2 linked regions of the Cricetulus griseus genome follow. The protein of the gene in region 1 binds, or shares a complex with, the protein of each later gene. Links are inferred from orthologs where the notes say so. Each region holds a gene or a part of one and is shown in the gene's direction. Other genes may lie near its edges.

The links.
Region 2: the proteins of Nudt21 (region 1) and Cpsf7 are in contact, whole or in part, in a crystal structure (PDB 3N9U), measured with the Homo sapiens proteins. The link is inferred for Cricetulus griseus from reciprocal best matches to the Homo sapiens genes NUDT21 and CPSF7. Residues at the interface, in NP_008937.1 of Homo sapiens: Arg68, Asn152, Glu154, Pro156, Tyr158, Tyr160, Pro162, Ala163, His164, Ile165, Thr166, Lys167; in NP_001129512.1 of Homo sapiens: Trp91, Trp92, Thr93, Thr94, Asp95, Gln96, Glu112, Lys114, Phe115, Glu117, Asn118, Arg119, Ala120, Asn121, Gly122, Gln123, Ser124.

The regions. Positions count from the first base shown.
Region 1 is NC_048596.1:170,214,363-170,217,948, reverse strand, and holds the end of Nudt21 (cleavage and polyadenylation specificity factor subunit 5), read left to right. Parts: intron 1-1,244; coding exon 1,245-1,359; intron 1,360-3,106; coding exon 3,107-3,128; 3' UTR 3,129-3,354; downstream 3,355-3,586. UniProt on the Homo sapiens protein: Component of the cleavage factor Im (CFIm) complex that functions as an activator of the pre-mRNA 3'-end cleavage and polyadenylation processing required for the maturation of pre-mRNA into functional mRNAs.
Region 2 is NC_048596.1:49,926,789-49,930,374, reverse strand, and holds part of Cpsf7 (cleavage and polyadenylation specificity factor subunit 7), read left to right. Parts: intron 1-739; coding exon 740-1,154; intron 1,155-2,641; coding exon 2,642-2,760; intron 2,761-3,586.

The DNA.
Region 1 (3,586 bases):
TTTTGTAGTTCAGTTGTTTGTTAGTATTGATTCTTACATGGTGGTAAGATTAAAAACCTCAAGATTGTCTTTTAAAGAGTCTTCAGACCTGTTATGTTTTAACAAGTAACTATTCCACCCCAACATCCCATCCCTACCCCACTCCCCCCAAAATCTTGAACTCCTGATTCTAACACCTTCCCTCTCAAGTGCTGAGATAACAGGCTTTCACTGCCATCCTGGGCTTTTGTGGCAGGTTCTTGCTATATAGCCCAGGCTTGGCTCCAAATCAGCCAATCTTTCTCTCTCTATTGCGCACGTGCGCGCGCGCAGTAGTGGGAACTAAACTCCAGTCCTCTGGAAGAACAGCGATTGCTCTTAACTGCTGTGTCATTTTTCAGCCAGCCTGCTTGCCTGCCGGCTGGCCCACCCTTCTCCTTTCCCTCCTCTCTGACTGAATATCCTTGGAAATGCTGTAATTGACCTGGAGCTCCTCAATTAGGCTAAACTGGCTGGTCACTTGCCTCCACTTTACTGGCACCAGGGTTATAAGCACACACATCATATGGGTTTGGGGGATTAAACTCTGTTCCTCATGCTTGGAAGGCAAGTCTCCAAATCTTGATCCTCCTGCTTTAGCCTGTGGAGTGCTAGAATTTTCACAATGTCTGGCTCTGTTTCTTGCAATAGTTTAAGATGAGAATTAAAAATTAAATTACAATCCCAAGGCAATTCTCATCTTGCTTTTTAAGATATTTATTGGCATTTCTCTCTTGAGAGGTTAAGTTTCAAATATATTTCTATAGTCTCTAGAAGACATAGATAACCCAAAATGATGAATGAGAATTGCCTTTCTCCATAAAAGTTTTTTTCAGGCCTGGGGAGGTGGCTTAGGAAAAGTGCTTACTGTGCAAGATTCAGAACCTGAGTTTGGCCCTTCAGCACTCATGTAAGAAGAGGAGCGCAGTGGTACACCTCTGTAAGCCTAGACTGCCAGGCAGAGATAGATAGGTAGAATCTGGGGGTTTCCCTGATCAGCAAGCCTAGCCAAAACAGTGAGCTCCAGGTTCCCCGAGAACCTAAGGAAATTAGGTGGGAAGGGGTTGAGAAGACACCCTGATGGCCACCTCTGGCCTTCACATGTGCTTGCATGGGCGAACACACATCACAGCTTTTCTCAATGTTAAGTTGACTAGTCACAAGGTGGGAGTAAATATCAAATGGAATTAAGGAAATGGAATACTTTTTTGTTGTTGTTTTTATAGCCTTGTTTGCAGTCCCGAAAAATTACAAGCTGGTAGCTGCGCCATTGTTTGAATTGTATGACAATGCACCCGGATATGGACCCATCATTTCTAGTCTTCCTCAGCTGCTGAGCAGGTATGGGAGGTTAAACACTTCTGATGGAGTTATGTAAAATGTCTAGTTAAAAATATTTGGGAGGCAGAGGCAGGTGGATCCTGTGAGTTCGAGGCCAGCCTGGTCTACAGATCGAGTTCCAGAACAACCTCCAAAGCAATACAGAGAAACCCTGTCTAAAGCCCCCTCCCCCCCAAAAAAAAATATTTGGAGCCCCTTGAGAAGTTATAGTTCACAAATTTTAGGGCTTAAGGAAAATAAAGACAGTCCGTGGTTTTTTTCCTCCCCTTCCTGAGACACAGGTTTCTCTGTATAGCCTTGGCTGTTCTGGAACTAGCATCATAAACCAGTCTAGCCTCAAACTCAAGAGATCTGCCTGCCTCTACCTTCCAAATTCTGGGATTAAAGGTGTATGCCAGCATGAGTAAATTCTTATGTGTATGTAATCGATAGATTAAAATACCACTAAAAGTACCCCAAGACTGAAATCATGGAATGATGCTCTTGTATGGTTCTTTCCTTAGATCTGGTATCTTCCACAGGTAAGTTTGAGGTGTATTCAAAGAAGAGATGGTAAAACAGTAAATATATAAAATATGAAGTGGTTGTCTACATAAAAATGTGGAGCCGAGAGGTGATGGCGCATGTCTTTAATCCAGCACTTGGGAGGCAGGTGGATCTCTTGAGTTTGAGGTCATAGTGGTCTACAGAGTGAGTGCCAGGGCAGGCTCCAAAGCTACACAGAGAAACCCTGTCTCAGTCAAATCTTTTAATATAGTTTATTCTCTTTCAGTTTTTGGAACTTACTGTACTTAAGCCTGAATTGGTAAAATGGGATACAGTCTTATAGTTTTATATGGAGTCTGAATTTTGAGGCAAATAGGTGTGTGTGTGTGTGTGTGTGTGTGTGTGTGTGTGCATGAACACACTTTTCATTCTTGAACTTTCAGTAAAATTTTGTGGATTATGCAGTTAGTATTTGGATTTGAATCCCACTTTTTTTATGATTTGTTTTTTATTTTGTGCCCATTGGAGTTTTGCCTGTATGTAGATCTGTGTGAAGCTGTCAAATCCCCTGGAGCTGGAGTTACAGAGAGTTGTGAGCTTCCAGGTGGGGGCTGGGACTTGAACCCAGGACCTTTGGAGCAGCCAGCCTTTGCTCTTAACTGTGGACCCATCTCTTCTACCCCCTTTCAATACTTGCTGGTAGTACAACTTTGGACAAGCTCTTACACTTGTTCGATAGATACTTCATATGCAAATGAGGACGGTAGTTCCTTCATAGGACTGTGGGGACCAACTCAGATAACACATATAAAATGCTTAGAACATAGTACCTGGAAGTGCTTAATACATGCTAGTTTAACAGTCATGGTGTTAGTTTCTGTGGATTGTAGAACTGGCTTGGTGATTGTAGTACTGGCCTTTTTACTTTGTCACTACTTCCTTCAGTTTTTGCTCCTCTGCTTTGGCCTCTTGCTATATCAGGTGACATACATGAGCATATGTATGCACAGAGCAAAGGAAGTGTAACAATGTTTTATGTCTTGAAGGAACTTTTGTAGTTCATAATTAACCAAATTTACACTGTTAATGTTCCAGTGGTAAGTAGTATATAAGCATGGCCAATGAAGGCCAATTGTCTTAGTATAGAAATGCTAAACATGTCCAAGGGGGAGAAACACCCCGGTAATTCCTTCGTTGTTTAAGGTGGGAGCTGTAAAACTAATAATGTTTTTAATAATAGTTTTCTGTTTTTTAAACTCAGGTTCAATTTTATATACAACTGAATTCCTGCACAGAAGTAACGAAGCCGTCTCTGTGAGCACAGCTTACACACATAGAAGAATTGTAGAGAATTTTTGGTTTTCTCTTGTTCCCTAAATTGCCACCTCCTTCCTGTTTGAAGAGTAAAATTAATATGAACTGGATAGTGGTGTAAACATGTGACAGTGTTCATTAATTGTTTGTTCTACTCATACATTTTTTTGTACATTAAAAAAGGTGGACTTCCTATTTGTATTATTATTTTTTTAAGTTTCTCATTAAACTCTGAAAAATCTTATAGTTGAGGATCCTTTTTTCCCTGTTTTAGTCTGGGGAATGTTAAAACATTCTTGTGGTTTAGATGAGGTGAGCTTAATGGGCCTTTTGCTTCAATACTGTTGTAGGCATATAGTCTGAGACTATTATAAGTGTTTCCATTTCTCTGGGGAACTGAATTTATGTGATTACGTCCAAGGCTCAG
Region 2 (3,586 bases), about 120 Mb from region 1:
CCCTGACTGTAAGTTCTACTGTAAAAAGCATTCTTTTTCTCCTCCATATTTGCTAAGCACCTTTCTACCTGCAAGACTCTCAAGGCTATACTATCATGTTCTGTTGTGGTCTACTTCAAGAAAGCAAAGCCGGCTCTCTAAGAATTATGTGAATAGAGAATGGCTCTGTCTCCTGCTTTTCCGATAGTTTTTCAATTTTATGACCAGAGTTCTATGGCAAAGAGAATTTTTCTAGAGTACAGCATAATAAAGAAGGTCGACTTGTAGTAGCCTTAAGAGTCTCTGAACTCTGGGGGATATAGGATTTCAGGGCAGGTAGAATCGAGCAGAACATCAGTGAGAATGCCTCAGCATCATTTTCTCATGGGTTGTTTGGAATGTATTTGAAAACAGGAAATATGTTTAAGGGTTAAATGTGTTCTAAGCACTTTGAGGATCCTTTGACATACAGGACTTAGGAATCATATTGCTTTGGAGGGTTGTCTTAAAAAGATACTTCTGATCTTTCCACTGAGACCAACAGAAAGGCACTAAATGATTTGCTGCTTCTCTCCGCTGTTTCACTTGTCATTCTTTCCACTCAGACCAACAGAAAGGCACCAAATGATTTGCTGCTTCTCTCAGCTGCTTCACTTGTCATCTTCAGTATGGTGACCAATGACTTGCTGAGGGATGAGGGTCCTGTTGTTATGTCCAGAACCTGCCTGGGCAGTAACATTAGCTCTGTTTTGCTTTGCAGGAATACCTCCACGGGCCCACTCCAGAGATTCTAGTGATTCTGCTGATGGACGGGCAACTCCCTCTGAGAACCTTGTACCCTCATCTGCTCGTGTGGATAAGCCCCCCAGCGTGTTGCCCTACTTTAACCGTCCTCCTTCAGCCCTTCCCCTGATGGGTCTGCCCCCACCCCCAATTCCACCCCCACCACCTCTCTCCTCAAGCTTTGGTGTCCCCCCTCCTCCTCCTGGTATCCACTACCAGCATCTCATGCCCCCTCCTCCTCGATTACCTCCTCATCTGGCTGTACCTCCCCCTGGGGCCATTCCACCAGCCCTTCACCTCAATCCAGCCTTCTTCCCCCCACCAAATGCTACAGTGGGGCCTCCACCAGATACTTATATGAAGGCCTCTACACCCTATAACCACCATGGCAGGTAACTATTTCCCTGCAGATTTGAGCCAGGATAGTAGCTAGTGTTTTTATTTACGTGTTGTTTTTTGGTTGGTTGGTTGGTTGGTTGGTTGGCCGGTTGGTTTGGGTTTTGTTTTTTTGTTTTTTGTTTTTGTTTTTATTTTTTGAGACAAGGTTTCTCTGTATTGTTTTGGAGCCTGTCCTAGAACTTGCTCTGTAGACCAGGCTGGCCTCGAACTCACAGATCCAGCTGCCTCTGCCTCCCAAGTTCTGGGATTAAAGGCGTGCACCACAACACATGGCTTTTGTGTTTATTTTTTGAGACAGGGTCTCACTATGTAGACTAGGTTGACCTCTAACTTAAATTAATAGACAGTATTTTGCCAGGCAGAGGCAGGCCAGTCTGGGTCTACAGAGTGAGTTCCAGGACAGCCAGAACTATACAGAGAAACCTGTCTCAAAAAAAAAAAAAAAAAAAAAAAAAAAAAAGCAGAGAGAGAGAGGGAGGGAAGAAGGGAGGGTGGAGGGGAGTATTTTAGACATTTGTTTTATATGAATTAGTACATATGAATTAGTACTGAATGCTGATGCTGTTTCCTCTATAATTTTGTGATGTTGAGTCCTGGGATATAGATTAGTATCTGTCAGAGGCATGTTTTGCATGCCTGTATGTGCAAGTGCACATGTGTGCTGCTGCATGTGTGTTTTTTTTTAAACATCTCTTTTTTTTTAAAGACTTATTTATTATGTATACAGTGTTCTGCCTGCATGTATGCCTGTAGGCCAGAAGAGGGCACCAGATCTCATTACAGATGGTTGTGAGCCACCATGTGGTTGCTGGGAATTGAACTCAGAACCCCTGGAAGAGCAGTCAGTGCTCTTAACCTCTGAGTCATCTCTCCAGCCCCTACATGTGTGCTCATATACACTCGAATGTGGAAGCCAAAGGACATTTGGTGTCATCTTCAATTATGTTGTTCACCTTGCTTAAGACAGTCTTTCATTGGTCTGGAGCTCACCAAGTAGATTAAATTGGCTAGCCAGTGAGCCCCAGAGATCCACCTGTCTCTACTTTCCCAGCACTGGGGTTATAAGCATCCTCCCCTATTCCTGGTATTTTTATATGGATTCTGGGCATTTGAACTCAGGTTTTCATGCTTGCCTGGCAAGCATTTACTGGCTAAGTTAATTCCCCCAGTTCCATCAGTTTTTTTATTTAGTATTTTGTTTTCACCTTCCCTACCTGACCCAAATCATATTTTTCATAACTCCGTTTAAGTAGCTTGATTAAACTTGGTGCCATAAATGGCTTTTGCAAGTGCTACAGTGATTATTACTTTTGAGTCAAACCAAAATTATGAACATAATATATGACATAAATCCTGACCTTGAAGAAAAAAATGAACATTTGAGACATATCCTAGAGAAGAATTGAAAAACAGTACTATAGAATATGGTGAAAAGTAATAAAGGATGTGGGTAGTCTGACCTGGTGTTACCTCTCTGCAGCCGAGATTCAGGCCCTCCGCCTTCTACAGTGAGTGAAGCTGAATTTGAAGAGATAATGAAGCGTAACAGAGCAATTTCCAGCAGTGCCATTTCCAAAGCAGTGTCTGGAGCCAGTGCAGGTAATTAACCCTTACTTACTGCCTTTGCTTAAATTTTCCCCTTTGTCATTTCCATTTGTAAAAGTTTGAAAAATTGGAATGCTGTTAAATGTCAGAAGATATGCACTTCAAACGAAGTATTTGACGTAGTTTCTTGGCTTTGGGGAAGGTCTAGTCATGTGTCTAGACCTGCTCTGTAGAAACCAACTCAGTAGCTACACTATGAGTAATAGACACTATTTCCTTTTTATATTTATTGTAGAATGTAATTGCTATCTCTGGGAGATCCTTATCTCAGAACTAATCTTTAGACCTTGTGTCTATTCGGTAACTCCAGGACCAAGTAGAATTGAAAAGCCCCAGGGTTTTAGACTTAGTGCCTCAGCTAAATAGTGCTATGGTAATGGACCTGTTAGACTAAAATCTGGGTGGAGCTAGTAGTCTGTGGGTAGCCTCTTCTAGGAAGACAAGTTTGTTACCATCCTAAGGCATATCACACCCTTGCAGCTAACTTGCCCTGCTCTCAGCATTAGCAGAAGAATCAGTAGCTACCATTCTGAAAGCCCTGGGCATAAAAGAGGAGGGTATAGAATGGGAAGTTTATGAATGGAACTCAGTGGCAGAGCAATGGCCTGGCATACTAGAATAGAAAGGTTGGGGGCTCTGATCCAAGTCATGCTCACTTTCTTCCTGGGGGTTTCCCACGTGGATCTAAATGTATGTGGACTGTCAGTACCCAAAGAAGTAAGTTAGCGCCGTTAATCTGTTTTCCTAATTTCTGATCTTTGGTTTCAGTTTGACTCCACAGAGTAGTTTAAAAACAGCAAGTATGTGTTCTTGTCAGTTT